3 linked regions of the Caenorhabditis elegans genome follow. The protein of the gene in region 2 purifies or fractionates together with the protein of the main gene of each other region. This does not show direct contact. Each region holds a gene or a part of one and is shown on either strand. Other genes may lie near its edges.

What was found.
Region 1: the proteins of rskn-2 (region 2) and T24C12.3 fractionate together in Caenorhabditis elegans (co-fractionation; one large-scale study listed by BioGRID). This does not show direct contact.
Region 3: the proteins of rskn-2 (region 2) and fbxb-87 fractionate together in Caenorhabditis elegans (co-fractionation; one large-scale study listed by BioGRID). This does not show direct contact.

Annotation. Positions count from the first base shown.
Region 1 is NC_003284.9:2,195,794-2,208,192, forward strand, and holds T24C12.3 (Carbohydrate kinase PfkB domain-containing protein), read right to left. Parts: upstream 8,101-12,399; 5' UTR 8,047-8,100; coding exon 7,895-8,046; intron 7,848-7,894; coding exon 7,772-7,847; intron 7,498-7,771; coding exon 7,399-7,497; intron 7,355-7,398; coding exon 7,243-7,354; intron 7,113-7,242; coding exon 6,879-7,112; intron 6,827-6,878; coding exon 6,706-6,826; intron 6,623-6,705; coding exon 6,537-6,622; intron 6,491-6,536; coding exon 6,366-6,490; intron 6,200-6,365; coding exon 6,143-6,199; intron 5,361-6,142; coding exon of another isoform or gene 5,102-5,360; intron 5,053-5,101; coding exon of another isoform or gene 4,897-5,052; intron 4,844-4,896; coding exon of another isoform or gene 4,774-4,843; intron 4,727-4,773; coding exon of another isoform or gene 4,645-4,726; intron 4,093-4,644; coding exon of another isoform or gene 3,907-4,092; intron 3,842-3,906; coding exon of another isoform or gene 3,668-3,841; exon of another isoform or gene 3,647-3,667; intron 3,200-3,646; coding exon 3,120-3,199; intron 1,996-3,119; coding exon 1,914-1,995; intron 1,866-1,913; coding exon 1,737-1,865; intron 1,693-1,736; coding exon 1,578-1,692; and 6 more. Other genes in the region: T24C12.1 (Tetraspanin family protein), read left to right, coding at 3,668-3,841, 3,907-4,092, 4,645-4,726, 4,774-4,843, 4,897-5,052, 5,102-5,360; T24C12.4 (ShKT domain-containing protein), read right to left, coding at 8,448-8,600, 8,649-8,826, 8,892-9,072, 9,126-9,168.
Region 2 is NC_003279.8:8,011,192-8,023,035, reverse strand, and holds rskn-2 (Ribosomal protein S6 kinase), read right to left. Parts: upstream 8,627-11,844; 5' UTR 8,569-8,626; coding exon 8,404-8,568; intron 8,134-8,403; coding exon 7,736-8,133; intron 7,356-7,735; coding exon 7,209-7,355; intron 7,165-7,208; coding exon 6,858-7,164; intron 6,753-6,857; coding exon 6,580-6,752; intron 6,456-6,579; coding exon 6,224-6,455; intron 6,165-6,223; coding exon 6,075-6,164; intron 5,903-6,074; coding exon 5,781-5,902; intron 5,253-5,780; coding exon 5,144-5,252; intron 4,898-5,143; coding exon 4,618-4,897; intron 4,567-4,617; coding exon 4,419-4,566; intron 4,116-4,418; coding exon 3,965-4,115; 3' UTR 3,456-3,964; downstream 1-3,455. Other genes in the region: C54G4.7 (AB hydrolase-1 domain-containing protein), read right to left, coding at 559-1,306, 1,677-1,855, 1,905-1,992, 2,061-2,182; dod-18 (Nucleotide PPase), read left to right, coding at 2,169-2,234, 2,282-2,416, 2,636-2,739, 2,783-2,935, 3,206-3,341. UniProt on the Caenorhabditis elegans protein: Serine/threonine kinase that may play a role in mediating the mitogen- and stress-induced effects on transcription. May repress transcription via phosphorylation of 'Ser-1' of histone H2A. May phosphorylate histone H3.
Region 3 is NC_003281.10:10,890,292-10,898,852, reverse strand, and holds fbxb-87 (F-box domain-containing protein), read right to left. Parts: upstream 4,334-8,561; 5' UTR 4,165-4,333; coding exon 4,085-4,164; intron 4,022-4,084; coding exon 3,121-4,021; 3' UTR 3,119-3,120; intron 2,715-3,118; 3' UTR 2,597-2,714; downstream 1-2,596. Other genes in the region: com-1 (DNA endonuclease activator Ctp1 C-terminal domain-containing protein), read right to left, coding at 491-830, 1,561-1,866, 2,372-2,425; athp-1 (PHD-type domain-containing protein), read right to left, coding at 5,278-5,450, 5,929-6,362, 7,243-7,820, 8,523-8,561.

The sequences.
Region 1 (12,399 bases), on a different chromosome or scaffold from region 2:
ACTGATTTCTGAATAGGTTAATTAGAAATACAAAATTTGAACTTCCTGTTTATTTTTTTTTATAATTTTTCTTGGTCATTTTGTGAGAAAATAGAAATTTGCAAGAAGTAGATAATTTTATGAAGATAATTTTCGTATTTTACTTTGTTTTGTAAAAACATGCCTCCAGGATGCCAGCTCTGTTTCTTTTTTCCGGAACATAGTTATATGTATGATTTTGACAAATTCAGAAATGTAGTAAAACTGACAAAAGTTTGTTTAAAAAAAAACGATATTTTGTTAAATCTTCTATCATTTGAGATACACATGTTTGAACAATTCAAAAAAACCACCGCAAAACCAAAAGCAAATAGAATATCGACTGGCACTATACAATGCATACCTAGAAAGGCTACAAATGTTTTGTGTATGACATAATAATGCCCTTACCATCCCCGTAGTAGCCGGTGCGCATATCAAATCGATCTTAAAGCTCTTGTGATTCAAACCGTTTTTCCCTATTCTGACCAAAGTGTTATAATACAAGCCAAAAATTCCCTTTAACAAAACCCCACCTAATGGTAACTGTCATACTTCACTTATCATAGTATTTTGTCCAGGCCAGACTTATGCCATACCCCCTCAAACCTGTTATATTTTGTTTCAATGTACCGATCTCACAATCATATGCTTGTTGTTCAATTCATTTCTTTCTCTGCAAAATTATATGAACCGTCATTATTTTTTGAAATGGGTTTTAGAAACATTTATTTGAAGAATATAGATTGTCTAAAAAACAATACAGAATAAAAACAATAACGCCATCCCCGTCTACGCTAATAAATTCGGGGTTATCGCATCAGAAATTGCCAGAGACGTTTGAAGAGTTAGACGAGCACATTCTTGTCCAATTTGGAGAGATTCGACGACTGTTTTGTTATGAGCCAATCCAGCAATTACTCCACTGTTGAAACTATCACCGGCACCGGAAACCGATACGACTTTGTTCATTTGAAGTGGAGGTGGGAGCGATTGGAATTCAAGTTGGCCAAGTTTATTTCTGAAAATAAATTTTATACATATTAGTTTAGAACACTTAGAATGGAATGGTCAAATATCTTTTTTCAAAAAACCTTTTCAGGCAATTTTTGGAAAATTGTTCATTTAGCGAGGCGGGCACGGCAGGTGTTTCGCGTCTGCAAGGAAGCCCTATTCAGCACAACAGTAATAGTTGCGTTTTAAAATTCAAGCTTGGCAATTTGTAGAAAATGCAAAATACCCTACCTATATACCACTGCCGATCCCTTATTCGCCAATGTCACAATAAAAATGGAAGTATTGAGTAGCAGCTTAGTTTTCTCCTTTTCTATAAGTTCCAGCACACCATCGGCTGTATCAATGACCGACGGATCTACGGAGACGTGACAGAGTTTAGCCCATTTCAGAAACTCATTGGCATTTGGCGATGCGGCAGTTACAGCTCCAACCAAGCCTGTGTCGAACACCTTTTTCACTTTGTCAATGTCCGTGGGCTCGAGCCAAACTGAAGCCTTGTATATTTTTGTCTGTTTTTGTTAATTCTATGTAAGTCACCATACCTTGTTTATCATGTTTCTTTGCAATTTCTAAAACTCTGGCCATAACTGGAACTGATAGATTTGAATCAAGAAGAATGAAATCTGATGATTCCAATGCATCTTCATTGCTTTCAACCTGAAAAAACAACTATTTTTTGCCTCGTATCCTATTATACCCACCAATGACGGAGTAATGACACTCAGAAGTGGCTCACAAGTAACAATTCCATATTTCACGTTTCCTTTCACGTTGACTGCTAAATAAGTGCAAGTTGGTTTGTTGCTTATAATCTTTACTCGATTAATATCCTAAACGACACGAAAATTTCCATGAGAAACAACAAAAAAATTTCCTACAATTTTATGACTGTTCTGTCTGAAGAAATGTCCGTTGTTGTCATCGCCAATAGCAGAAATGAAAACTGAATCACATCCAAGCCTGAAATAAAAAATATATTTTAAGATAAAGCTATTTTCAAATCAAGCACTTTGCGCGCCGTGGCTCAAGCCTGCAATACAGTTAAAGTTCAATTGAAGTGCAAAACTATCAGACAAAAGTCAATCAAACAATTGATCGTACACAAAACAATTACAAAACTGAACAACGATCTTGGGATGTTTGTCAAAATAAGAGCAGAAAAAAATCGAATTCCAAAGAGACCGAGTTCAAATTACTTTTTCGCTCTTTTGCGATCCACACAAATACCTCGGCAACATTTACTTTCGTTTGAGCATCAGGTTTGGTGGTATTGTGTTGTCGGTCATCTTTGAAGTTTACAGTGACATTGTACTATCTTGATGTGATGAGAAGTTAAAAGGTCTCGCTTGTGCTTTTGGTTTGAACAAAAAATGAAAGCCACAAGTCCATAAATGCAAATGGACTTGATTAGTTTTATGACATTTTGTATTTCTGTATTTGGTTTAGTATACCGGGGGTGGATTGCTGTTTTTCAAATTTTTGCCAAATTCGGCAAATCGGCGAATTTGCCAGAAAACGGCAATGGCCAAAAATTATCGGCAAATTAAGGTTTTACACATTTTTTCTTTAACTCTATACACATTTAAATTTTGAACCGCAAAATTGTACGCATCCTACGGATCACCCTACATCTATTTTGAAAGTAAGCAATTTATATGTGAATATAATTCAAAAACAGGAAAACATTTCATAATGGCACGGTTCAGTGTTTTCGCCTTATCGAAAATCCTTTTAGAAATTTCCGGCAAACTGATACCGGCAAACGGCAAATTAGCAAATTGCCGGAGTTGAGCAATTCCGGCAAGTTTGCCGATTTGCCGAACGGCAATTACCCACCCCTCATTTGAACACTACATTTTCACATCATTCCAATTATTTATCCCAATATGCACTGTACTTTGACCACGCTACAAATTCTTAGCAATTTTTTTTCTTCAATTCAAAACAAAAATGGTCAGGAAGAAAAACATATCATTTCGATTTCTTGTGAATGTATGAAAACTGTGTGCCAAAAGTGAAAGTGGTGGTGCGTCTTTTAGCGCGACGCACAAGCGATGACATTCTAATTTACGAGTATTTCTGACCTTGCTAATGCATCCGCGTGATTCCTTGCTACTCCTCCCATTCGCTGTACCACTTGTCCGTTGTATGAGCCGCCATCATCCTGAAATCATTTAAGTGTTACCGGATATTATATATATTGGAGTTCAATATCAAATTCTCAATCTCAATTCTTTAGAAAAAAAAACATTATGTGCTTTGAAGCGATCACTTAAATGTGTGACAGTAGCGCATTGATACTTTGTTCAAATAGCAATGAATCAGAAAGCTTGCTCTCCGATTGGCAGTGTGCCGGAAGCTTCTGCCACACAGTTTTCATTTATTTTATTTTGTTCTTTCTCTTTTTTTGTCTTGGCCTCCCACTTTTCATCAATCATACAGACGAGCCATCAGCACTGTTTCTCTCACAATCAATCCTCGTAGAGAGAGAGAGAAAGAAGAAACAAACATGTGCGAGGTGTGTGTTTTCCTGTTCGTCTTTCTTTTCAAAAATCTTTCCCCGTTCCTGTTTTTTGTACCTTCATCATTGATTTTCAGAATCACTTTGCCATAATTATAACAAGTTTTCAGCATGCGGTTTGGTAAAGCGGCATGGCTTTATGGGAGCAATATGATACTCCTGCTTGCCGTTTTTCTCTTTCTTGGCGCCACGATTGTCATGCTCACAAGCCCATTATTCGTGCTGATTCCTATCAAAAAGAATGATCCATATGTTCTTGGATACTGCTTCATCAATATTTGTTTGGTGAGTAGTGCAAAGCTCCGAACTTAATAGTTTCACTATGTATCATCAAAAACCATTGTTTTCAGGCACTTTTGTGTATCGCATCAATTGTTGCAATTCGGAAAAGACAAATTGGCGTTGTCGTTTTTTGTCATTGGATAAAGTGCTGTACACTTATTGTGGATGCTGTCATGGTTTTCGTTTTTGCAAGCATCATGTCCACAGCTCACACCTCGCTATATTCCCACATTCAAGTACTTCACAATAGCAGTGTAAGTATTCAAGATTTTGAAATCCGGGAGAAAAACCAAGTATACAGTTAGGTTGATTTTTTAAAGTTAAACCAGTACAGTTTGTGCAGAACAAAACGTGGAAAAATAGGAGTTATTAAACTCATTGAGGAATACTAATTATTGATACAGTGTGTCCAATTTCTACAAGACCTCCTTTTTAATGATTTGAAAACTCGCACTGACAAAAAACCTATGCAGCATTGTTTTCAGCCTAGTTCAGCCTACCAAATTATTAGTCTATCACTCTGACCAAAAAAAATCAGATGGTCTTGATTACACATTTTAGCACATATACGTGGAATTTGGGATCTCATGACTTTTCCGCTCCCGGCGCAGTTCTTATTGCTAAATTGTTTCAAAAAGTTTGAATACATTCGGTTGCAATTATGATCAACTTTAATTACATTTATTATAGTCCAAAAATGCTGAAAATTATACTAGAACACTGAAAACATTTTCAGATTTTTCAATATCACCATGCAAAATTTTGATAAATTGTGTAATTTTTTAACACGTGTTATTAATTTTCAGAAAGAACTATGCTCTGTCTGGGATAACGTCTATCAGACTTTGATTTGCTGCCCACCCGAAGAAGTGTTACAAACATGTGCAGGTATCTAGTTTCTACAGTTGTTCCCCTCATAAAATTCTGTATTTCAGATTTTCTAAACGTTACAAAATCGTTTTGCCCAACTGGACATTCCAATGACTGCTATATTCATCTCAAGAGGTAACATATCTTTCAGGAAAAACTGAAATTATATGAACAAAAAAATCTTGCAGATGGCTCCATTCCAATACAGAAATAGTCGGATGTCTTGCTTTTTGTGTGATCACGCCGCTGAAGTTGTTCATGATCGCAGCTCTTCGAAAAGATATCGAGAAAGTTGAAACAGAAATGGCGGAACTTGAATACTACTCTCAGATGATTAATGAATAGTAATAACTATGACTTGAGGAGCATTAATAATCAACAATTATATTTCAGTGACCGCCATGGAGATGGTTACATCGAGAGCTTCAAGAGCAATATCAACTTGGCTGACAGCACGTCAACCCAAACATCAGGAATCAGCCGCGTTAAAAGTTTCCCAGGATATTCACCTTTCTTGAAGCACTCTGTAATCGAGGAGGTGGAGAACGAATTTACGGTCCGTGGGGATGAAATTCGGGAAGAGCTACAACAAGCGATTGCTGCTCATAATGCACGACAACTTGAGGCGGCTGCTGTTACTGAACAGTTTTAATTTTTGGGGGTTCAGTTCAGTTTCTCCTTTTTTCATTCCGACAGTTCAGGGGTTTTTGTGAAAGTGTTTGCAAGGGTGTGATGTTGGTATAAGAGATGTTGTTGGTAAAATAATATTTTGATGAATCTTACTAGTTCGGCAATTTGTCACAACTTATACACCAACTTTTGCAACGTTTCTACGAACTATAGAAACATATCTACAACTTTGGCCAAGCACTTTCTACTAAGTTTACCTACTTTGATCAATTTTATCCAACCTTTTTCCCAAATTTAGCAACTTCTTCGCTTGGCATTGCTAAAGTTGCAGCAGTTGGTGGATGAGTTGCAGCAAATTGTCGAGAGTGTTTCACCTAGTGTATATTATTTTTCTCTAACTTTGTTTTTAAATGAGTTTAAACGGTTTGGGCAATTTTGATCTAATAATGCAAATTTCGAATAAAATGAACTCAAATAAACGAATTTCGTAATGAAACTTTTCAAAATTTTTTCAATAATTTTTTATGGCGGTTTCACTTGTGTCTACTTTTCTGTGCCATGTCTGAACCGTTAGGTCCCCTTCAGACAACTTTCCACGGCTCAATCACTTTAAAATCCGCAAACCACTCAAATCTCTAAGTTTCTTTCATCATAATTTTTTACGTGTTTTTCAAAAGTTTTTCTTTTCTAAATTGTCATGTTTTTTTTGGTTTTTTTTTTTTTGGTATACTCCATTCCCCAAATGTTTTTTTCTGATTTTTTTTGTTGTTGCTCATTTTCAATTGTTCTTTGTTTCATTCTCACCTTTACATCTTCACTCGTGATGGCTTCAAAGTCAACGATAGTTGCTCCGATAGAAACCTGAAAAACAGTCGTGATCTGTTTGATACGTTTGACAAATAAATGTCATTGAAACTAGTAGGCGTTGGTTGTTTGCTAAGACAGCTTGTGTTGTTTCAAACTTTTATGAGAACAATACCACATTTCGCAAGTGAATAAAAAAAACTTTATTGTAGGTTTGACTCACCACTTTTGGTTTTCGAGTCGTTGATGCAGTTGGTTGGCTCTGTGAAATTGTAAGTGGACGTCTATCGCAGAGCTTTGCGGCTAGTCTTCCAGCAATTGACGCATTATTCTCGAGAAGTGCAATGTCTGTAAAATGACAATTAACAGCGGAAAAATTGTTCAAAACGCATACTTGTAGCCATTGAAGCTCCTTGTGTGAGCTCGTTCACTCTTGCAAGAATGAATGGGGTGACACTTTGTGAAGCGATGTTTTGTTCACTGAAAGTAAAGTTTTGAAGCAAAACAGGGAACTTTTCAAAAAATATTTTTAAAAAGTGCAACATATTTAAATTTTAACTTACATGGCTTCTTGAACAGCTTGGTCAATTGCTTTCTGGATCGCATCTCCATCAGCTGCATATTTTTCAGGAATAGGACAAGCCAGAATAGTTCCATAAGGTAATCCGAGAGATTTCGAGGTTTCTGAAACACTTCATGACTTTACTTCATGAACCAATATTTTTCATCAACTCACTTAACAGGTGAACAACTTCTTCCAATGATTCAGTGCAGAATTGAGCTTTTCTATCTGATGTTCTAGTGAAAAAGCTTGGAAACACATTTTCTTGCCCATAAACTATGCAGTTCACGGAATGAGTTTCAAGATATTCGACAGTTTTGGGTATGTCTAAAATGCTTTTGACTCCAGAGCACACCACACACACGGGAGTTTGCGAAAGTTCTTGAAGATCAGCCGAAACATCGAATGCTGGAAAATTTTTTTGCTGTTCGGAAAAAAAAGAACTTGAATAAATGGTAAAAAAAATTGTCCAAATTCAACAATTTTCCTAAAACTTCACGGGTCAAAAAAAAAACACCAAACACATGAAACAACTCACTCTGATCTGCACCACGATGTACTCCACCAATGCCACCTGTTGCAAATACACTGATCCCAGCTGCGTGTGCTATCTTCATAGTTGAAGCTACTGTAGTTCCTCCAACTTCTTTCTGAAATCAACATTGAAAAATTTATCATAGTAGATCAAACTTACTTTAATCAGTGTCTTTGCGATATCCCTGGAGGAAACTTTGACTGCATTCTGACTTGAAGCAAGAAGTTCCAGTTTTTCATCATCCAATCCAACATGAATCTGAATAAAATGAAAATGTTTAGGTATACACTATTTAAAATTTTCAAAAAATGATTTTTAATTTTATAGCGTTTAAGTTTTCACAAAAATTCCTAAGAATTTTTAGTTGATGAAACACTAATTTTGGCAGTTTTTGAATAAAAAAATATTATTGTTTTATATGAAAATATTGGTATAAAATGTCGCAGTCTGCTAGAAAAACGAACGTGGCAGCAATAAAAGTATCATTTAATAATTTAAATTTTCAGAAACAAGTTCTAGCGAAAAAACCTACTTTTCCATCAAATAACGCAATCGTAGCTGGATGACTTCCTGATGATCGAACTTTTTGCTCCAAACTTCTTGCAGTACTGCAAATAATTTTTTAATAGTTTCAAATGCATTTGCAATTCACTACCTTAAATTATGAGGGTAAGGAAGTCCATGTGTGATCACTGTACTCTCCAGCGCGACAACTCCTTCTCCGCTAGCTAGAGCCTCCTTAACTTGTGGAGAAATTTGAAGAAATTTGGAAAACGAACGTTTTTGGCCAAAAAATCGAGAACACATAGTGAGAAATAGAGAGTAATAGACCTAGAATGGGGCTCGCACTATCTACAACACTACTTTTTCTGGTTATCGAACAAGATCGATATGGAAAAAGATGGAGAGAAGAGATAAGATTGCCCTCTACACTCTGTTTTTTACTATCTCAAAAGTGTCCATCATTTGATAAGATTGTCATTTTTACGAATTTCAAAGTCCAAGCTTTTTTTTTGTGAAGATTTTATTAATCATTAAAATAAATAAATTGGAATTTTAAAAAGGTTCGATCGAGATCTCGTTAATTTTCGTCATGAAATTAGGAAAATATATTACAACAGATTAGTAAGTATTGAATAGATAAATAAATAAATGAGTAAGAAATATTAAAAAATAAGAATGAATAAATTACGTTTCCAGTGTGACATTTAGTTCGGAATGAGAACTGGTGGTTTTCCACAAGACACTGGCTCAAATCGACCGAGCGGTGTGCGATAAATATCTCTGCGGCAAAAGTTGCAAGTTTTTCTGCAAATGCGGAACGCCAAATGTGCAGTCGATCCGTCGCAAGACCATTGAGACTGCAAAAAAAAAGTGGTCTAGAAAACATTTAGAAAAGCGTCACCTACCTTTCCCCAAACATCCTCCTTCTTCAAAAATCGCTTGCAGAACTCTGATCCATGGCGGTCGAAACATTGGTTGGATTTGTGGCCGGCTTGGAAAATGAGCTCGTATCTATCGGCAGCGCTTTCCATTCCACAAGTGTTACAACATTGGATCAAAGAGAAATCAGCGTCAGTAGCGCATCTGAACTTCATATTTAATTTCAGAGAGCATTTGAAACAATTAATGAAGTTTAAAAAAAAACCAACCTGTCTAGGAACTTCGAAGGATTGTGCTGTTGAAGTCTTCTACAGGCAATGCTCGAAATGATATCGGAGCAACATGGTGGAAAGGCTGCTCCAAGTGCTGTGGAAAGCTCACTGATAGTAATATTATCCTCTTTGTACAATGGTTTGAGCTGTGAAATTTGGAAGCCAGCATCCACAATATCTAAAATTAAAAAAAAACAATAAAATGAATTAGAAATGAAAAAGCCTACTCACGGATGAGAAAAATAGCAGAAAAGACAACCGCGTACTTCCACATGACGCTCAATTGTGGTGTAATTGAGAATGTCCCAAGTCGACGGAACATTGCTCGTACTTTTATAATACAGTGCCAATCATTCCGGTTCTGCACCTCCCGCATTTTCGCGCCGCCCCAAGGCGTTGAGCAGTGTGCAGCAACAACACAATGTAAACGATGACCGGAAGGCACGGAAAAATGAATCGAGCTAAGCATTATGGGAGCATGAGAGACCGTCAACTCTGACGTGATTGGCATATGCACTACTGGATGATCATCGGTGATTACACGTAGGTGACACGTGTCTGTGATTAATATCGCGGAAAGAAGTGTGGGGTATATTGAAGTTGGCATACTATCATAGTAAATCTTTCCAAAAAAATTTTTGGAAATTTTATTCACTCTCAAAAAGTTGCAATTACTGAGTTTTTGCCTCTCATAATTTTGGAAGCAGGTCAAAAAAAATTTATTTTTTCGACGACTTTTATACTTTAATTGTATTCTATTTAGTTGATTTAAAACATTATAAGGGTAGACTCTTGCGACATTGCTCTGGATTTTCTTAAAAGGTTTTCCAAAATTTGGCAACTAGCCAAAACTTCTTTGACTGACTGGAAGTTTTTTTTTAATCTAAAAACTTTTGGAGTGTTTTAATATGGTTATTTTATATCATTATTGGTGCATTTGGAAAAGATCCCCACTGACGCTAATTATCAGAAACTCATGCTTCCAACAATGAAATAACTTCATTCATTAAACAAATTGTTTCTCCTAAAAATTTGAAATTTCTGTTTTACACATAGTTTTCACCATTTGCCTCTTTGAAGAGCCTAAACCATTCAAAAAAGTGGAATGGTTTTTGTCAATTTCGTCAATTGAACTGAAGCGTTTTTTGATCCCATTTTCCTTCGACCTTATTTTTTTGGTTTTTAACAAAGAATTTTTGAAAAATCAAATTTTAAAGTGCAAAATTGCATGGTTTTTCGATTTTAAGTAGTTCCTTTGAATGTGACTGTTTTTAAGTTATTTATATTTTTGTGGTTTGTTTTTCTTAAAGAAAAAGAGCCAATCGGGTAAATCGTAGGTTAGGTGCTCAAAAATTGACACTGAAAAATTTGCCACCAAAAAGGTAAACTTGATTTGTACCCTAAAATTATTTTACGCGGGTATTCGAATATTTTGCTTTTTTATTTTAACTTTATATATATTTCTACGCTTATCGAAAGTATATATGTATAAGAAAAAATTTTTGAAAAAAAGGAACTTCAACAATTTTTTTACTTGAAAATCACGTTAAAAAAAAGAAAAGCTAATTTTTTCCAATGTTTCTTTTCATGTTTCAGCAACCATTTGACTATAAATTGATGATATGTATTCTTTAAATGCCAAGCTTAGATTTTACTTTGTCATTCCTGAAGATCACTGAGCAACATGCTCATTCACATTTGCTACCGCATTTTCCCGTCTTTTATCTCTAAAATCAAATGGTCAGCATACTCAAACATTCCGTTAAGCAACGCTTATTCCTCATTCTTCATCTTTTTTCGTTTTCATCATCACTCTACAACACAACAAAAAAGAATGCACAAACATAATTTGGCGTGTGCTCTTACACTCTCGCCACTTTTACACTCATATCGTCTTCAGAGGTTGTTTGACGTTGCCGGTGGCCACACAGCTTGCCGCGCGGCAAAAGCATATCATTGACTCATAGAGGAAGGCTTTACCGCCGTTGTTAGACACGGGGAAGCATGTGCAGCGTGTTGTGCAACAACTTTTTGTGTTGTGCATTAAGAGAGAGTTGCTCTCTTCCGGCGAATCAAAGATTTTGGAAACCATGTTTGTGATAGGGGGGAGTTCAAAGAACATTTCGATTTAGGACAACTTTTATATATTCAGAAATCAGACTAGTTATTCGAACTGTACAATAATAATAGAAAATAGAGGAATTTTTGGAAAACTGCACAGCAGCTACTGGAAAGGTTGCACACCAGTATATTAAAATTTCTTCCACAACTTTCCATGTTTCTCAAATTTTATTTGGTCTGCTATATTTTCTCTCTCTCTAATTGGGACTCCAAGTCGATCATTTTTCTCAAAAATTGATTACTAAATGCAACATTTTTTAGGAGCCAGTAACGCATACTAAAACCTACCTTAAATAATTGAGTTGTTAACCTTGATAAAATCGCCAACAAAACACAAAAAATGAGTATGCCTGTACACAATAGTTATCACTTTTTGGCTGCCAATAAAACAAATTTTAAAAGTTTTACTATGATATTTGGTTTATTTGTCACCATACATTTAGTTTCAACAATTTCCATACTGGCGCTTTCCCACTTATAAATCAGAAACAATTCAAATAGAACATGTTAAGCTTGGCTTGGGTATTATGTGATTGTCAAAATGTATTTGTGCTTCAAAATGTATCAATAACCATATAAATAATAAGTTTCAAATCACCCAGTTCACACAATTACGTTTCTGTGACATTTGGTCATTTTTGCAGTGGAAGTTTAATAATTTGCCTAATGTCTCTCCACCTTTAATTTTTGCAACCGATCTGTATTGACGTCTCTGTTAAAGGATCAGATGATTAAAACAAATGAAGTCATTAGACTCGATATCATCAGTTCTTACAATCACGCTTTTACTATGAGTAATCATAATTCTTTTCCCTCGTTCTGCTGCTCCGTGCTCATAAACGAGATGAAGGTGTGAGGTTGGTGTTCTGTTCAGCTGCGCAATCAAACCCGAACGCTTGGCCGTGCCAGGTCATGCAACCACAAAAACCGTGAAAACCAAAACGTGTATTGCTCCCTATTTTGAGTGGAGGAGGCATTAAAATAATGACTACTCATTTTTATAAATTAGGACTGGCAAAACGGACTAACACGGTTTTTTATTTCATTACTTTGAATGAAGCAAAGTATTTGTTGAAATCCGAAAAGGCATAACGTGGAGCTTACAAAACCAAACTTCCGGTCTACCAGATTTCATACTATCAATAAAATGCTCATAAGGGATCTAAAAATTCAATACTACAGTACTACTTGTGCATAATGTTTTTGAAAAACAAACTGTCTTAAAATTTCGATTTCAATTTCAACTTCAAAAATATGATGTTACATCTCTTTTTACGTTTTTCTTTTTTTTTCTATCAAATTATACTAAACTGCAGCTTGATATTCTAAGACTCCTTTATCACCAGACTAGAATCACTTGCCACCTATGCGTACTCATTGCGTC
Region 2 (11,844 bases):
TAGTCACCAAAATTTTCAAATTGGGGACGACGTCGGGAGCCGTTTAGAAAAATTTAGTTGTCGCCGTTGTTTGTTAATTGTGAAAATAAAATGGAGAGTTTAGTATGAGTATTTTTCCATTTTCTGAGAGTTTTTGCTGTATTCGAAATAGTCAGACTCCTTTTTAAACTAAAAAGCTCACGAACTTTTTCGATGCATCATTACTTTCTCGAATATTTTTTTTATATAGGAAATCTCTTATCCGTTTTTTTTTCTCTGTAACCACGTTTTTATACCTTCTTTTCTTTTCCAATAAACCAAATAATGGTAAAACGTCGACATTTATTTTTAGTGTGGAGACGAATAAAGTTTTAAATTATAAATCGCATATGGAGATCATGTTTGTAGAATTTGGTTGAAAAATGTTCATTACCGACATAGTTCTATTTTATGAAAAGGCACACTGAGAAAGAGAAACCGGTAATGTCAAAATAGAGACAATCTCAAATTTGGCTATGGGAGTTCTAGTATCACAAGAAGAAACGGAAAATCAAAATTCTAGTAAAAATGCAAATTATTTTAAATTGTTTTCTGCTGTTGCCGTCTGAGCAATTCGGTTATTCTTCGACGCCAAAGATCATGTTTCGATAGATATGCTGTAACATGTCCATATCCTTCCATCATTTCAACAGTTACATTAGGCCATAATTGTTGATATGTTGGTGTCCCTTGATTTCGCAGTACATATTGATCCTGATCAGCCAAGAATACATGGCATAGTGATGTGTCTATTGGTGTTGGATAGAATTCAAGACTTGTGAAGTCATCCATCAAAATTCTCATCATATTCTTGGCTTCTGAATCACCGTTTCTCGCAGTCATCTCTCGCATTTTATCCAGCCAATTTTGATTCGGAATTCTTCGGATTTTATCAACATAGTGAGGATCTTCGAGCTGTTTCTGCAGTAAAGAATAATTAACAGCTGGAGAAATAGCTCCTTCCGTATATGATGGTGATGCTGTCGTCCATGCAAGAATAGGAACTATTGATATTGGACGTTGCGAATTTGATCCAGCAAGTTGAGCCATAAATCCACCCATCGAGACACCAGAAATTGCAAATGGACCATATCCAAGTGTCTCAGACCAATTGAAAAGATGATTACATTCTGCAATTAAAGCGGCACCCATCACAAAAAGATCCGTCACATTTTCAAGAGAAGAACGGAATTGATTCGGTGGTTTTCGATCTCCATAAAATGGATTTTGAATTAAAATAGATCCCACACCATCCTTAAGCATGTCATCAACAAGAAGATAGTGACGTCTGAAATAATAGTGATCTATGATACCAGTTTTGATTTTTTTGCATTTTTTCGAAATTTTTGTGGTCTCTGATAAGAATCATTATTCGATTTATGCATCTATGTAAGATGCGATACTTTTTATCTCAGTTTTTGAGTTTTTTTCTCTTTTTAGATTAAATATGTATTATTCAGACGCAAACTTTTTCGATCTTTGTGACAAAAATACGGTATCCGGTCTCGACACGATGAATTTTGTTAAATGCAAAAAGGTGTGCGCCTTTAAAGGAAACTGTAAGTTAAAAACTCTGCAGCGAGTTTTAAAGTACAAAAAAATTTGTCGTGCCGAGACCAGGTACCGTATTTTTTAAAATAAATTTTCAATTTTCTTACCTAAAATAAGAGTGATCTCCGGTGCCTGCCAAATGTATGCATACGGGGCCTGGTTTCTGAGGAAGATATGCTCTGAAATGTGCTCGACCGACGTTTCCTGGCATATGATTGGGAAAGAGAGTGGCATGAGGACTTGCGAAAAATCCCTCGTATGAAGTTACGCCATTTTTTGAATATTTCTGAGAATTATTTATTATTGAAAAATGTTTTTGAGAAATTAAAATTTACCTTCACAATGTCGATTTTGGGATTAAGTTCTTTCACATAATCCATCACAAGCCTCTTTGACATGACATCTCTGCGATATTTTGCCATTCTAAAATAATAATAACAATAATTAATTATCTATTAGTTTCTCAATTTCTCAATTAAAACAAAACGTACTGTTTAATTACATCCGGATGTCCCCAACTTTTTGTGAATAATTGACTGAGCACAAGAGCCGATCGAAATTTCAGATCCACGTGTTTCGCCCACGACGGCAAGTTCGGAATGAAAGAAGCCATTATTGTATTGGCAAGTCAGTCACCAAATCGACTCAAATTGTTGCAGCAAATTGTGAGAAAATGAGAATCTACAAAAAGAAAGATTTATTTCGGTTTCAGGGATTGGAAAATGTAATCGTAAAAGTTTCAAATTTCGAGGAAAATCTACCAAAAACATTGCCAGTTAAGCAGTTTGTCATTGAAACAGCTAAAGGAAAATTGACGACTATTGTGGAAGAAATGAAAAGAAAAGAGGTATAGTTATTTTTTCAGTAACTTGAGAATATAGTTATTAGTTGAAAAACAAATCGGAATTCAACAAAAAAAATACGGCAACATTTCTCGACGCGACCTAAAACTTTTTGCGCAAAATTTCAGAGTGCTGCAGCATATCGAGACCTGCTACCATATTTTTAAAATCTAAAATTGAAATTATAAAAACTGAGATATTATATTAATATATGAATTATTAAGGAGCCGTACTCTGTTATTATTGCGTGTGATACAGTAATCGAATTCAATGGAGAAATTATTGGAAAACCAACAGATGCCAATGACGCTAAAGAAACTTTGAAAAGGTAATTAAATTTTCAACATCATAATTGTATAAATTAATTTCAGACTTCGTAACAATACTCATAATGTATATACTGGAATGGCTCTACACTATCATGAAACTGATCAATATGAAGAGATCATCGAGAAAACAATTGTTCATTTTGGAGATATTCCTGATAGAGTTATCGACGAATATGTAAAAAGCGGAGAGCCATTGTTAGTTTTTTTTAGCAAAAAAAAGTTATGGAAATATTTATTGATTGAAAGTTATCAAAATTTTTGGAATTGAATTTCTTATCTAAAGTCATAAAAATGAAAGAAAAATTGGCGGTCAAGAAATTTTGAACATTTTATGAGTATTTGAAAGAGCTGCAAAACTTGAGGGATTTTTAAAATTTTCATCACGTTTTTCATCATTTTCATCACGACATTTGAAAACTCCAATAAAAAAACACGAATAACTGACCTAGTAAATCGAAATTTCAGGAAAAAAGCAGGTTCATATGGAATCGGTGACTTTGGCGCTGTCTTCGTTCGTGGAATCGAAGGATGTATGCCGAATGTGGTTGGTTTGCCACTTCACCGTCTTCACCAAGCTCTTATCGCTAAAAATATTCTCTAAAATGCTTTCACTTCCATATTTTATTTTCTCACATTACATCAGGTTTTCACGTTGATGCTTCAATCGATATTATGATTCGGAGCTTTCAAACCTTCTCCAAAATAAATATGTAAAACGAATTACTTAATTTTATTAATCTTTCAAAAAGTCGATTGGCAAGTCAATCATGCTCATCGCAAAACATGGAAGAATTTCTGGAAATGGTTCAAGAGTTCAGGGAGTCACTGGAGACAATGAAAAGATTACATGGGGATAGGTGGATGAATAAAGATATGTGTATCTAACAAAATGATTATAAAAAATTAGAAATTTACATGAGACTAGATATAATAACATAAAATGAAATGCACGAATCACAATATTTTTCAAAATTGGTAGAGGATTGACTAGAAATGCGAAATATCTAACAAATGACAATCACTACAGGTTCAATGAACATTTCAGCAACTGTACTCATAGAGAAGGCAATGCCACAAGTGTCAGGTGACGGAAAATTTGTAAAATAGTGAGAATAATGAGAGAGTACAGACTAGAAAGCATCTAGGACGAAAGAATCACAACGCAAACAGTGAGAGAAACAGGAACAGAAAGGAAGAAAAATTAAAAGAAACAAAGAAAAAGGTCTAGGAGGAGTCTGAGCCACGAGTTTCTCGGATTGTTCCAGAATTTGGTTCTCGATAGTTCATCATTCCCAAATTGCTTGGACGGGATGTTGATGATGTCATCTCTGCTTCTTGTTCTTCCGGAAGACACTCGAATTGGGTAACTCGCGAACTGGAAAATGACATAAATTGTTGAAAATGAAAGTATATTTTCAGAAACGAAAATGTTCACAATGCGATCAAAATTAGAAGTATCATATTTTTTTAGAAAATAATTATTATTAATAATTTCATAAATATAATATTTGAATAGACGTTCTAAATAGTATAAAATAAGGAATTTACAATTATTTGCAAACTTAAAAACTAAAAAATAAAATTTTAGAGAAATGTCGTCAAATGTGGTGTTTCTTGTGCACTTTGAAACCGTACCCCAAATTGGAGGAGTTTCAAATATTAGGGTTCTTGAACTCACTTTTTCGAGTTTCCAGAAGCATCCTTGTCCCCAGATTGTCTTTTGATTCCGCGTCGTTTCATGAGAGGAGCAGCAGCAACATCGAGAAGATGGAATCCATCACGATTAGCGTGGAGGAATGCGCGCAGTGTCTCATTGAATGTTTCATCTGAAAAGTCAAAAGATTAGGTTATTCAATTTTCAATAACATCAGTTTAACTACCTGCTGATGATGGCAGAATACTAGGAGTTTGAAGTGGTGTATCCATTGAAGCCGAAGACTTGAGCCACATATGAGCTGTAAGCTCTTGCATTGAAAGACGTTTCTTTGGATCCACAGTAAGAAGACCGGTTATTAAATTCTTAGCATCTGCTGACACGTTTGTCCATGCGTCTCCTGTGAATGAGAATTCTGCTCTACAAATTCTCTGCATTATTTCAGTTGCCGATTCTTGACGAGAACGTGCATGGAATGGAACTTGACCCGATAGCATTGTGAACTGAAAAATTTATTCGTAGAAAATGTGCCACACAATTTAAAATATTTCTTATGAATTTCTAATAACCAGGGTTCTCAATGCGTCCAAAAAATTTTTCACGATGTGGTACTGTAGTTGCATGCTTCCATTTCGTGATTTTTATCGATTATCAATCGTTTCTTAAATTTGAGGGGTCTTTTTGTTTTTTCTCAAAATTTTTACTTCGATTTTTGAAACATTAAATTATTACAAAATTATACAACTAACCAGTACAACTCCAAGTGACCATAAATCACATTGTTCGTTGTATTCTGGTTGAGAATCTCCAACATCTAAAACTTCTGGAGCAGCATACTGTAGTGTGAAGCAGGGGGTCCTGTAATTATGATTGAAGAATTTCATAGTGAGAGTTAGGCAAATATATAGAAGCTATTAGTGAAAACAAACGTTATTCAAAGATGAATTGGGCATTCTCTAACTCTCAAGTTTACAGAAAATTTGAGAAACTTAATGTGAGTGTTTGTGAATTGTTAGTAAACAGCTTTGTCTTGAAAATCAAGTGAGAGTCAGAGAATGAGTGTGTTTCTTCAAAAATCTCTGAAATCAAGAAAGAAACCCTTAGTAGAGATAAGTGAAAAGAAAGGTTTAAAAGGATAGAAAAAGAAGATAATCTGTAACAAGAATGCACGAAACATCACACACCACCGTCTTCCTCTCTACCAAAAGTAACTTTTTTCGAACATTTGTTCTTTTAAATTTTCAGCTTGAGACACATGCTCCCAGTTAAGAAAAAAAAACAAAAATATGCCCAATAATGAGTGAAAAAAGACAAAACACAATAACTTTTGACTAGACTAAATGTTACTCCGAGTGGAGTGAATGATTGTGTGCGATGAGACCGTACATCTTGCGCAGAACTTGAACAGACTTCAGTTGTTGTTCCATTGAATTTGGAAGTAGACGTGCAAATCCAAAATCGACTAGACGAAGGCGGGCACTTGAATCGATACTTTCAAATAGAATATTCTGGAATAAGAATAACTGTGCCCGTTTTTTTAAAAATTGCGTCATAATTTTCTAACTACTCGAGTATACTCCACCTTTAATTATTAATTTGTTTCACTTTTTGGAAGTATTTTATTCTTATGTTTTGTATTATTTTGCAGCCACTTAACATAATCTGATCATTGAAACTCACCTCTGGTTTCAAATCTCGATGAACAATTCTTTTATCATGAAGATATTTCACAGCTGATACCAACTGCCGCATGATGTCTGCTGCTTCACTCTAAAAATTTAATTTTCAGAGTAACTCCGAATTAAAGAAATGCTTAAAAGAATTCTAACCTCTGTAAATCGTTCCAATTTTCGAATTCTCTCGAGCAGCTCATTTCCAGTCAGAATCTCCATGACGAGATAAAAATGAAGAGGATCCGAATGTACATCATGAAGTTGAACAATATTCGGATGTCCTTGAACCATTTCAAGAATTCGTGCTTCACGTTGAGCCTGACTTGCGAACTTTTGTGATACGATTTTGACTGCAAACTGGGCTCCGTCAACTACGCGTTCGCATCGTCTGAATTTGTATATTTTATCTTTAAAACTATGTAAAAATAACGTTTTGTTGAACTTTTTCGAGATTTTCGAATCTAGAAAATAGTTCCAGCACATGAAATGTTGATGAAAATATAAAAATTTACCTGACCACCGAAAAAGCTCCTTTTCCTAAAAGACCAGCGTCCGACTTGTCTAGTTTGTACTTGGCAAAAAATGAAGAACTCGCGAGAAGTGCATTGACATCTTCAGCCATTAGTTCTTCACCGATAACATTGTCATTGGCAAATATAACAGATGGGGAGACATATGAGTATCCCTGTAATCACATAATTTCTTCTGGAAATTTATTTTTGTCAAACATATTTCGGAATTCGGCTCAAAATCCGGCAATCGGTGCCTGCCAAGTTAAGAAAAAACTCACTCTAAACAGAGTATTAGCATTTAATGGTGACTCTGCAGGAGAATATAATGGTGGCTGAGAAGTGAATTCAGCTGAGAAGAACTGTGTATCCAAATCATGTCCAATTCTTGGAACAATCACTGGCTTCAATGTACGCTTAACAGCTGCATCCCAGTCAATACTTGACATAAATTTATGATTTTTAATTTCATCAACTCCATTGTATCCGAGACGTTTTTCAAGTTTCTTTTCCAACAATTGGCCGATGAAATCGCGAGCATCAACATCCATAGTTTTTGGGAAAGGGACCTTCTTTGTCATAATTCGTCTAAAACTCGAAGAAATTATAAAGAAAATGAGGAAATGATTTACTTGGCAATATCTTTACTAGAGTTTTGTGCTCCATCTACAGTAAATGGTGAGCATCCAGTGAGCAATTCAAATGAAATTACACCCAAAGACCACCAATCGACAACATCACTGTATCCTCCTTCAGGGCGATTGATTACTTCTGGCGACCTGGAATCATTAAACTTGAGAATTTATTTCTTATCTATTCAGAAATTACTTTTACACAGCCGTCTGTGCCAATTTTCGTTTGTAAAGAATTATATGAAAATCTCAATGAAAAAATTCAATAGCTCAATAATCAAATATCAATGATCAATAATTTTCAACAAAAAATGATACCTTTTAATATACAACCAAAAAGTAGCAATTACCCAGTTTTTGTTAATCCTAATTTTGGAACTACATCAAAAACTACGAATTGTATATTCTAATCATGTTTAAATTATTGACATGCAAATAATTCTGAGGTTTGATAAGTTCTTTTTTTTTTTAATTCCAAATACGTTTGGCAGTGTGCCTAAACTTTGGCTGGAAATTTCAAAACTCACATATATTCAATAGTTCCACAATATGAATTGGCTCTATCCAACTCTCCGGGTAGAAACAATTTACTTAATCCAAAATCTGTCAACTTAACGTGTCCTTCTTCGTCCAATAAAATATTCTCAAGCTTCAAATCTCGATAAATAACTTTTCTTTGATGAAGACTATCAATTGCAACCACAAGTTCAGCAATTACAAATCTAGCAGCTTCTAAATCAAAATGACCTCTCGAGCAAAGATGTGTGAATAATTCTCCTCCTCTCACATATTCCATTACAATGTGCAATTTGGTATCAGTTTGGAAAGCATAGAACAAATTGACAAGAAATGGTGTTCCACGTAGACGTTCAAGTACTTGACGCTCTGCCATTGTGTGCTCCAGGGTTTTTTGTTTTGTGAGCACCTGCAATCAAATTTGTTTTTTTTTCGTTTCATATTAAAATACTAATCTATAAACTTTATTTCACCTCACTTTCCCATCTCTCAAAAATTTTTCAATCCAGTTATTTGTTTCGAAAAGTTCAAAACCATTTCAAGAATATGAATTCCGGCAATTGTCGGTTTTTTCGCTCTTGGCGAGAGATGAAAAAACAAATAATAATACAAAGGTTCAGCACCGTATAAATGAGAAATTATTATTTTTAAATTCATTTCTTTTCCAAAAATAACTCACTCTGGTCTTTCTCAACACTTTCATAGCATATATAGTATTATGATCCTTTCCACCAACTTTTCGCACAAGGAATACTTTTCCATATGCTCCTTTTCCAAGAACTCTGAGGAGAGCAAAGTTCTCCATGGAAACTTTCTCTCCTTCAGGCATCAATATATCTTCCATTTTTTCTATATATGTATGCCTTCTGCCTATTTTTTGTGTTCTTCGGGTTTAATCACCTGAAAAATAAAAATTGCACGAAATGAGGTTTTGCAAATATGCACGTAGGCATAACAAGGTTATAAGTGAAATCGACTGAGCAGAAGAGAATAGAGTGAAAACAAAATATTGAAAAAACAAACTCAATTTTTGCAGATCTAATAATTTACATATTAGTTTTCAAAACTAAATCTAGTAGTTGTTTAATTTTCCAAAAAAAAAGTAATTTTGCATTCTTCTGAAATTCGAACTTAAAGGAGCTTGTCAAAATATTTTCAATCTTTAAAAGATTAATCTAAATAAATCCATGAAAACTTCGAAATTATGACAATATTTTCAAATTTATTCATGTTTAGAGGATGACTCACAAATTGGCTAACTATAAGAGTTCTAATAACTGAGTATCAAGAGAATGATGACAAATAATAGAATTTCACAAGACAAAGTCATTAGGAAGATCTTGAGTTTTAAGTTTTGAGATCTTAGGCTTTAATAAAAGAAATCAGAAGATTATACAAAATTTGGAATGAAGACTGCGAAAAAAAGAGACATGGAAAAACAGAAATTATCACATGAATCTTGCAGAAAAGGAAATGAAAACGAGAAATCCATTACCGCTTGGAAGGTTGAGAACAAGAAGGAGAGGAAGAAAAAGAAGAAGCACAGCACAAAAAAGAGGACAACATAGCAAACAGAATAAAAAACAAAATGAAAAGTCTTCTAGAGAAAGAAAGATTTGTTGACCAACTCTATTCACCTCCGATCATTTTCAGAAATCCCCTTTCCCTTTTCTCTCCATCCAACAATATTCTGAAAACTTGAAGAAGTTGTGAGCTCAGGCTTTCCTGCCAAGAGAGCACAAGTGGTGTGGTGTCATGAGCCATAAGCAAGAAGAAGGAAGATGAAGAAGGAAAGAGAAAGAGACAACGATGCAAAAGTGAAAATATGCCATGTGTTTTGCGTGTGTGCTTCGTTTTTTCTTCCTTTCTTTTGTTGCATTTGCTGCCGTGGCTCCGGTGAGCAAGAGCAGAATCAAATGGAACACAAGAACACAACAAGCAGAAGTTAGAGGAATGAGAAGAGTGAGAAGTAAGAGAAATGGAAGATATAAACAGGAAATATCAAAACAACACTTCTACTGCTTCTAGGTACCTAGATTTGGGGAATTCGTCTAACGAAGAGAAAACTAACCAAGCTAATCAACAAAATATTAACGAGAGGAATGATGGGGCCTGTATAAATTTAGTTTCTAGCGATAAATATTAAGAATAAATATCTTGAAGCTTTTAAAATAACCTAAATTAATCACTTCTGCTTTTAAAGAAACTCAAATCAATTAGAAATAAACATTTTGCAAAAAAACCAGTGATACACTAAACATCAAACGAAATATGAAAGAAAAGTTCACTGGCCAGAAATTAAAACTAGGAATTTCAAATCTTAATACTTGAAACTGAAAAGCTCAAAATGAAAACAAGTTCATTAGTTGTTTTCATCGGAATTTTTTCAGAAAAGTAATACATTTATCTTTTAATGTTTTGTATTTTTCAAAATATTTTCGAATCTATTTTAAAATATTCACCAAAATTAGTTTTATTTTTTAAAAGGGTGTAATGGTTCCGCCCACATCTTGGTTGTTTTGCCGTTTTGCACCCACGATGGAAAAGTGAATAGAAAAAATTCTTCATACTATTTTTTAGAGTTAAAATCAAGTTTGCATTCGACTTGTGTTTTTGCTAGTCAATGAAAATTCTGCATCTGACAGCATAATTTAAAAGTTTTCTAGAGTTCACACACAAATCATATTTAAAAATATTTGATTACTTTCCGAACCCCAGGAGCAAAAGTTATAGGAACATTTATGAAAAACGTTGGACACAGCTTGTCACAATAATTGTTTTTTTTGCTATAACTATAATTATCATCACGAAAAAAGAGTAAAAGACCACAGAGAACACAAAGTTGGTCACAAAAGTAAAATGACCTCAAATGAAAAATGCAGATGGGCGAGAAAGGGTCGAATTTACATTTGCATGTGTATTTGGACTGCCAACTTAAAGTTTATGCATTCTACGTAATCAAGTTTCAGAAATTAATGGGATTATGATTAGAAAATGACATTTGCAATTATAGAGATCAATTTAATATGAATGAATTAACTGAAAGTGCAAAAATTCTGCAAAAACTAGAGTGAAATTAGTAATTCATCTGGAAGGAAAAAAACGATAGTTATTTTGTTGAAATTAGATTTTAGGATGAAAAATAAATTTTTTGTTCAAATGAGAGATGAAGAATTGATCCAAACGTGTTGCTGAAAATAGAACATTTAAAATTTGTCGAACCTGATATTTAGGGTGTGCGGAAAATCTACAAAATTGCTGATTTCTCTGCAATAAGCAAACTTATGAAAGCAAAAGCAATTTGAAAAATTCGAAAACTCTCTGGAAATAATCCTAAATTTTGTTTGAAATAGAGCCCAACTACCGAAACTTGCCAAAACTTTGACCCATTTTTTCAGCAGTGACTAACTTTCAGTCTTTAGATACTTTTAAAAAAATTCAATCAAAACAAGAATTGTGTTCAAATTGACTAAATATTATTCTACATTATATTAATTTTTTATCTAAAACAACCATATCGAAAAGAGAACATTTGCCGTACAACCCTCTTTTTGAAGAGACACTATCAAAGATCAGAGACCATTTTAGATAACACTAATTAAGTTCAAACGGAATTTTACATGGGAAAGAATCACAAATATTTTATAAGAATCAAAAAAAAAAGAACATTTTTAATAATTTTTTGATATAGCCTATGCAATGTGTTGTTTGTGTGTGTGTGGTGTGTGTCGTCGTCGGTTTTTCCCCGCTTCAATGGCATTGAAGAGAGAAACGAAAAGAAAAAGAATAGTGAGAGATTAATGGTTTATAGTAGAGACTCAGACACATTTTTTGGAGAAATGAAATATAAAGATTAGAGAAATGAGTGAAAAAGCAGGATCAGTAATTACGATTGAGCACAAAAAAGGATTTTGAAAAATCAAGTGTTTGGGAAATGTGATTATTATGGCAGAACAAGAACAAAATAATAATAATATTATTCATGAATTATAGACCAAGGTCACAACAAATCATGAATCATACAAGTTCCTACAAGCTTCTGATTTTGGAAAATATATGCCCGCAAACTAGAAAACTACTATTTGAAAATTTGTATCTATCAAAAAAAAAGAAAAAGAAA
Region 3 (8,561 bases), on a different chromosome or scaffold from region 2:
TCTCTATTTCTTTAATGAAATTTTTCATATATTCGATTTTCTTTAAAAATCTCTGAAAAAACGGAAATTTTTGAAATTTTAACGATCTAGAAAATATTTTTTACTGTTTCGATTCCCATATATATGGGAAATATTTGCTTCTCGATTTTAAAATTTTCTGTTTTTAAAAATTTTTTTAAAGAACCGACTCTCTGATAAATGGAATTATTTTTTCGAATTTTCGTTTAAAAAAAAAAAGAAAATTTTAAATTTCCAGCTCATTTCCGTATATTTCAATGAAATTTTTTCAAATATTCGATATTTCTCGAAAATCTCAAAAAAAGCGGAAATCTTTTCTAGAGAATCTTTTTTTAAATTAATTTAAGCAAAAAACACGTTTTTTTTATGTTCGAAAAAAACTAAAAATTATTTCCAATAATTTCCAGATTTTTTTAAATAATTTTTTTTGAATTTTTAATTTTCAAAAAAACAATTGAAAATAAATATTCACCTCGATTAGAAGTTTTCGATGGATTTTTCTCGAAAAACTTTGTCAATTTCGAAGTTTTTTGGCGATTTCTTGCCGGACTCGGCGTAGTGAATGCCAGTGTGAAATCGAGTTGCTCAGGCTTCTTTTGATGTTGCTCATTGTGCTTTTTCGATGGTTTCTGAATATTTTCAACTTCAAGACTTTCAATCGAATCCCGTTTTTTCTTGCTTCCACGTTTTGGTTCGTGTGTTGTGTGTAATCCAAATTCTCGTGATCCTTTATCAATTCGACGGGCTTTGAATAGATAATCGTCCATTCGAATTTGTTTTACGTATGGTTTCCGGGGACGGTTACGGTAGCGCTGGAAATACAGAAAATTTGGAATTTTTCAGAAACTTTTTATGAGATTTGGACCGTTTTGATAATTTGCTCTAAATATTAGAAATTTTAGCCATATTGTTTCAACAAAAAATATTAAAATTGAGCGATTTTTTAAAAAATTTTTTTTAAATAATTTTTTTACAAGTTTCAGGTTAATTTTTTTCAAATCCAATTTTATTGACGCGCAAAATTGTTTAGAACTTTGAATTTCTGCTAAAAATACGAATTTTTTGAGCTTTTATTTTCTCTGTAAATTCTGTGAGTTTTGAATTTTTGCAGAATTTGTAGCAAGAAGGTTTTTAGGAATTGGATTTTTCAAGAAAAATCGGTCTTTTTTTTGATTTTTTTTTTCAAAGAATTTGAAGCATTTTTTATAGTTTATTTTAATTTTTTTAACGTAAAGAAAAATTTTAAATCAGAAAACTTGAAAATTTGAAAAATTAAGAATTTTTTGAGTTTTTTCAACCAATTTTAAGAAAAAATGAATGAATATCAAAAGTTTGATGCAATTTTTTCCGAAAAATTTTTAAAATTCAAATTTTAATGAATTTTCAAAATCAGAGTTTAAATTTAAAGGCGCACGCATTTTGTTCAAATGGGTCTCGTCGCGATTTTTTTATAAGTCAAAACTCTAATTTTCAATGGAAAACTTTTTTTCTAGATTTTTATCTTAAATTCCGGGATTTTATAGAAAAAATCCCATTAATCACCTCGATATCATCAGGTGATAAAAAATCATCCATAATCGGCTGATGCGCCGGTTTGGAGTTGAAAATCGGGAATTTTTCTCCAATTTTCTTCTCTTTTTTCACTTTTTTCGGCGGTTTTTCCCTATCCGTTGTTGTGCTCAATTCTTGTGAAGAATGTGTTGAGGATACTATTGCCAGAATTGATTCATCATTTTCTTCATAATTTCCAAAATTTGATGTAGACGGTCCAAAAATATCGATTGATGGCTGGGGGTACTGTAGCTCGGGATCCAAAGCATTTCTGATGGCTCGGGCGATGCTGTCCGACTGAAATTTTGAGAAAATTGAAAAAAAAACCTTTTTTTTTTTCAAAAACTGCAATTTTAAGACAAAATATTCACATTTGCGCGTAAAATATGGTGTAATATTAGTGGTGTTTGCACAACTTCTAATTGCGTACTTAATACACCATATTTGACGCGCAAATTTTTGGAAAAATTGATTTATTGTTTTAGCATACTCAAAACTTCAATTTTCTAAAAGATTTTTTGAAAAAAAACGAGTTTCAGGCGAAAATTATCGCATTTTTCTGCATAAAACTCGAAAAACATTGAAATTTTCAGGTTTTCTGTATTTTCAGCAATGTTTTGATGAAATTGTTCGATTTTCAACAATATTCTGCAAAAATTGACAAAGGCAGTCATTTATATACAAAAATTTGAGCAAACTCTGCCAGTTTTTCTATGTTTTTTCCAATTTCTCAAGAATTCTCCTTGAAAAGCTGGAAAAACCTCTGAAGTTCGAGCTTTTCCGGATTTTTTCGCATAATTACCTCTCCAGTGGATCTTCGTTTCGGTGTTGGCTCAAATGGATCCACAGATTGCATAAATGAGTCAAAACTTGAATTTGCCACGTGGCTACCGTAATATCTGTCCATTTTTTGGGATTCCTGGAAGGGAAACTGATGATCTGTGCGGAAATTGTTAATAAAATAGAAATGAACTGGTAAATTGGCAACCAGAATTACAAAACGATTTAAATTTCACGATTTAAATTCAAGATTTAAGTTTATTCAATTTATTCAACAGAAAAATAAATAATAAATCATTTTAAAATAGATGTTTAACATTTAAATTAATTTTGTACAAGTTTCCTCTTGTGACCACGTAGATACTCTGCAAAAATAAACATTTTCCGCTTTAATTGAGCTGAAATTCAGGAAACATTGAAAATAAAATTCAAAAAAATGATTTCTCTCAAAACTTCTCTGGCGCCCTCTTATCTCTGCGCCGTGTCAGCGAGCGCGTTTGCAGCGGGAAATTTAAGATTAAATATATTTAAATCAAAGCTTTGATCAAAGTCGAAATGGTTTGTGGTAAATAATATATATTTATCGATTAAAATCAAGAATAAATTCTAATAAATAACTTCGGCATTTTTTTGGCTCGAGCAACGGAAACCACGCGGCAAAAAATAAGTTTAAAATTACAGTACTCATTAAAGGTGCGTACCTCTTCGCATTAAACAAAAGATTTACCGTATTTTAGCGCAAAAATACAAAGAAAAAATCAAAACTAACATTTAAAACGATGCAATTTTAAGGAGATCTCCGATACTTGAATCAATCGGCTTCCAAACAAACATCTTCAAATACTTGTTAGTTGCAAACTCATCACACACAACAATAATTGCGTAGGTACCATCGCTCCTTTGGATTCCAAATCCCTCGTTTTTCACCTCTCTGTGTGAGTCCTTCCATACATCCACAGCTGCTTCGAACTCCAGTTTTTGGTCGACGTCCAGTTTTTTGTATTTAATACCACTTAAGGCATTCTGAATAAATTCTTCCTTCTGAAAATTTTGAGGAAGACGCATATGGAATAATTCCAGCCGTTCAGTTGATCCATTGATCCAATGTTTTAGAAATATGCATAGATCTGTTAGGGGCAATGGTTCATGAATAAGTATTTGAGAAGTATTTGAAACGAGTAAGTCTTCTAGTTTAAAAGTGCTTCTTGTTTCTAAATGTTTGAAGTTGAGGCCCACAAGTGACTGGAAATCTCGAGTTTCCCAAGTAATTTGCTCTAAAGTTAGAAAATCGAATCGTCTTGCAAAATGTTTCAGTGAGCTCCTAGTCGCGAGGTGTAAAAGTTGAATATTCAAATTATTGAATTCTTCTAGATAATCGTAGTCGATATGCTTAATAAATAGCTTATGAATAGTTGCTTGATGGAATATTGTAAGAATTTGATCTATAAACTCCCGCAAACTGATTCCTGTCATTACTTTTTCACCGTGCACTCGAATCAAATTCCTTCCTTCAGATTGTGTCACAGACAATTTCAAATTGAGATCTTCCATATTATAAGTGAAGATATCAAATTGTATTGTCCCAGAAATTGTTATATAAAAATATATGAGCTTCATATTCAACGATTCAACAGCATGTTTGGCAGTTTTTGAATAAAACGATATCCTCACTCTGAAAACTTGTTTCTACTTATAAGAATATTTATGTTTCCAGTTGGGAAAAAAATGCACTCACAAATCTTGCACCTCCATAGTTTTCAGCAATAAACGTAGTGGTTTATGCGGTAATCGAAAAATTGGAAAACCTCTCATCATGGTTGTAAGAAGAATGAATAAGAAAATGAATGACTTGGTGAACCAACAGGTTATTGATTAGGAAAAAGATAATGGGTACTACATACGTTATAGATGTACACTGGTCCTGACCACTCCAACTAATACACAGGCAGGCATGGGGTCAGAGATATGAACATTAACCACATCTAAATAAAAAATTCTGGAGGTACATTTGGCAGAAGAAACTCTAACAGTCTTCCACAATTGAAAAATGTTATTTATAAAAATTATAAATATCATAACATTTGCAAAATGCAGGGCATAACCGGACAAACTCACGTGGTGTCAGGCTGTCCCATTACGGTTTGATCTACAAATTTTTGTACAGAAAACCGTAACGTCAGCGCTTCTCGTAGATCAAACCGAAATGGGACACTCTGACACCAATTGAAAACTCTGGGAAATATGATATTTTATCCTGTTAGAGCGAGAGCAACACCACTCATAATGATATTCCCAAAGTTTTAGATAATACTCAGGCAACTCAAATCTTATATGAAAATATTAAATAGCAATATTTTTGTAGTTGGGTGATATTTCAAGATAAAATCGCAATATTCCGAGACTTATTCGAAATCTTTTTAGATTGAGCAATCTTTTGAGAATATTTCGCAATATTTTGAGATCAAATTGTAATATTTTGAGACAATCGAAATCTATTCGAAATTTTTAGTAATATTATATGGACGCACTATTTCTCGTATTTACTACAAAAATATTGCTATTTAATATTTTCATATTAGATTTGAGTTGCCTGAGTATTTTATTCCATACACCTACTGTTGTAGGAGTAGAACCTGCGTTGCTCAATTTTTTTTTGAACATTTCAATTTCAAATTTTGGAAAATGATTGTCACCCACAACAGGGATGGGTGGCAATTGCAGTTCGGCAACTTGCCGGTTTGCCGAATTTGCCGGAAATTTTCAATTTCAGCAATTGTTGTACGTGTCGTTTGCCGGAAAAATCTTTTTTTTCCAAAAAAAAAAACACCCAAAAGAATCATTAAAATTTTACGATTTCACATAAAAAAATTTCAAAATCAAAATACGTGATATTCACGGACAGAAAAAAAGAGGTAAGAGATCACATAATTAGATCCTAGAGAAGATGAACGCGACACAGCCAATTTGAATACGTGCTCCGTGCTCCAGTTTCAGGATTCCACAGCGAACGAGTTCACCGGTGCTCTCTTGGCGCGAAATTTGTAGATCAGAATGTTTTTGGCATCGACATTTGATATGTGGAGGGATGATTGTTGAGGAACCTGCAAAAATTAAATTTTTTTCAATAAGTAATGGATCCTTTTTATGAAGAATATCCCAAAAATTCGTAATTTTTTAGAATTTTATCAGAAAAAAAACCTAAAAATTGTAGATTTTTTGGCATTTTTTTAAAGGAAAATTGAAAAAAAATCAAAAAAATTCGGAATTTCAGAATTTTATCAGGAAAAATAATTTAATTTGGAAAAAAAGCCTAGAAATTGTAGATATTTTTGCATTAAAACAAATAAAATCAAAAAATTCGGATTTTCAGAATTTTCTCAGAAAAAATTGATTTTAATATGCCTTAAAAACCCTAAAAATTGTAGATTTTTTTAGTATTTTTCACCAAAAAAATTGAGTTTTTGGAATTTTTCGGAAAAAAAATTAAAATTTCCACATTTTCCGCACTCCTCAATTTTTTATTATCCATTTTGTAGACGGAGTTTCCAATCCCCGCCCATTTCTTGGCATTTCCAATACCTCGAGTTCTCAATTTCTCAGCTGCCTCAAACGGTGTCAGCCGCGGTCTTCGTACCGCCCGTCCATCCACAAAAACCGCTTCAGTGCCGAGTGTCGAAATATAAAAATTATCCGAATAATAATCGCGAACAATATCACAATGATAATCTGCAAGCACCGAGCACCACGCATCGCCCGTCAATTTATCACATCGTACGTGGCAATCATGGGCGGTGCCGAGTTTTGTGACACATCTTTGAATGGCAATTGGAAGATGCACCGCCGGCAGTCGTAGATCGCCATCCTCGAGATCCAATCGTGCCAGGACCCGTTGAGTCGGTAGGAAATATCGTTGATCGTATGGGATTAGAGACGAGAGACGGGCTGCCACACATTGCTCATTGTGCTCTTTCCATTGTTCAGGCGTCCATTTGCTGAGTGCTGCGTCACGATTTCTGAAAATTCATAAATATAAATAAAAATGGCCTAGAAATCAAGGAAAAAGCTCGGCCATGGTCTAGAAATTATAAATGCTAATTTTTCACTGTTTTTCTGTTTTAAAAAATTAATTAAAGGTGCTTTCAAAGTTACTATCGTGGCCTAGAAACTGCAAAAGAAAAACTCGGCCCCTGGAATTACTGGATTACAAAGAAAAAACGTGGCCTAGAAAAACCTCAGCCACTGAAAATTTTAAAAAGGAATTTAAGGAAACTCAAAACCCCGGCCACCATTCACAAAATTCTGATCGTGGCCTAGAAAACCTTATGGAAAAATTCGGCAACTATTGAATTTTTGAAATTGGAGCAGTTTTGACAAACATGGCCTAGGACTCAAAATTAAAAAAAAAAAGTGGATTTGCTTTCTAGAAATATAACATGGGCCATCAATTTTTTTAAAACTTTTTTTGAATTAGGATGGCCTAGAAAATGAGAAAACTCGGCCATCATCAGTGTTTGCGTATTTTCAAAGCTACAGTAACCGGAATAGTGCAAAATTGAGCTAAATTCATCAATTTTTTTATTTGTCGGAAATTCTGAAAATTCGGAATTCGAACTTAAAATACACAACATTTCGAAAACTGTGGGCCGTGGCCTAGGCAATCCAGTTGAAAACATCGGCCACTGCTCAATTTGGCCAAGTTTTTGCAGCCATGGCCTAGAAAAATCTAGAACTCAGCCACTATATTAAAATTGGCCAAAATATGCTGCCATGGCCTAGAAAATGGGAAAATTCGGCCATAATCAGTTTTCGAGGCTACAGTAACCGGAATAGTGCAAAATTGAACTAAATTCATCTAGTTTTTTGCGGGAAATTCTGAAATTCCGGGATTCGAACCTAAAATACTCGTCCTTCGCCTGCTCGAAACCCCGATCCATCATCATTTTCGTGTATTTCAGTTTTATTTCTTTAATCTCATCTCTCAGCTGTTTCGTCACAGGTTGGTTCAACAATTCCGCAGATTCGTTAGCATCTGATGCTGTCGAGTGCCGTCTTGATCCTCCTCCATCATCCATTGATCCTCTGCTAGATCGACTACCACGTGGCCGTCCACCACCACGGCCACGGCCACGTCCAACCGGTTGTGGATTCCGTTTTCTCTGCTGCTTCGGAATTGTGGTGTCTCCCTCCTTCCGATTTCTTGATCCAACTGGTCGACCGCGTTTTCGAGGAGCATCCGAGAAATTGTCATAGTAGACGGCGGGAGGTGGTGGAATTGGCGGTGGAGTCTGTGGAGATGCAAATTCTGCGGAATAAAGATTTTCTTGGTATTCTTCATAGGTAATCAGTTTCTCCACCTCCACCACCGGTTGATTTTCCTCATCCGAGTCGTGAGTTTGGTAGAGAGAAGAATAATTGTGCTCCAGGTGCATTTGATGGCAATCCTCACGGCGTATGAAATTTTGAAGGGCGCTCTGGAATTTGTTTCCGTTTTTTTTTTGAATTTTTTTTTGGATTTTGCAACAAAAAAAACGGAAAAAATTATTGTTTTTTTCGGGAAAAAAGATTATATTTTTAAAAACTATATCGGTTTTTTTCTTGGGTTTTTTCACAAAAAAAAAATCGAAGAGTTCTCAATTTTTTGAAATTAAAAAAAAATGATTTTTTAAAATTACTTTTGTGTTTTTTTTTTCGATTTATCGGAAATATTTTTCTCTTTAAAATCGTTTTCTTAATACTTAAATCTAGAATTTTCCCAATTTGCAAAAAATGTTTTTTATTTTTTTTTTTTGACATTTTTTCCGAAATTTGTTGGGAAAAAAACTCTAATTTTTAACAATTTTTGTAAACTTTTTTCCTTAAAAAAAATAAATTTTTTTGTTGATAAATCCAATCAACAAAGTTTTATCGATTTTTTCAGATTTTCCGATTTTTAACCGCAAATTTTTTAATTTTTATTTCGAAAAAAAGAAACTAAAAGTCACTAGCTCAAAATAAGAAATTCCTGGATTACGGTAGCCTGAAGAAAACGGAAACACACTGATTGCGTACTTCCCAAGCTACCGTAAACCAGCGAAATCCAAAATCAAGCTAGAAACTTCTAGTTTTCCGGTTCCCAAGCCAAAATATTACGGAGATTCCGAATTTTCAATCAAAATTTGCTCGAAAACTCTCACCCGAACCAACGGCCAAATGATTCGATCGACAAGATCGGA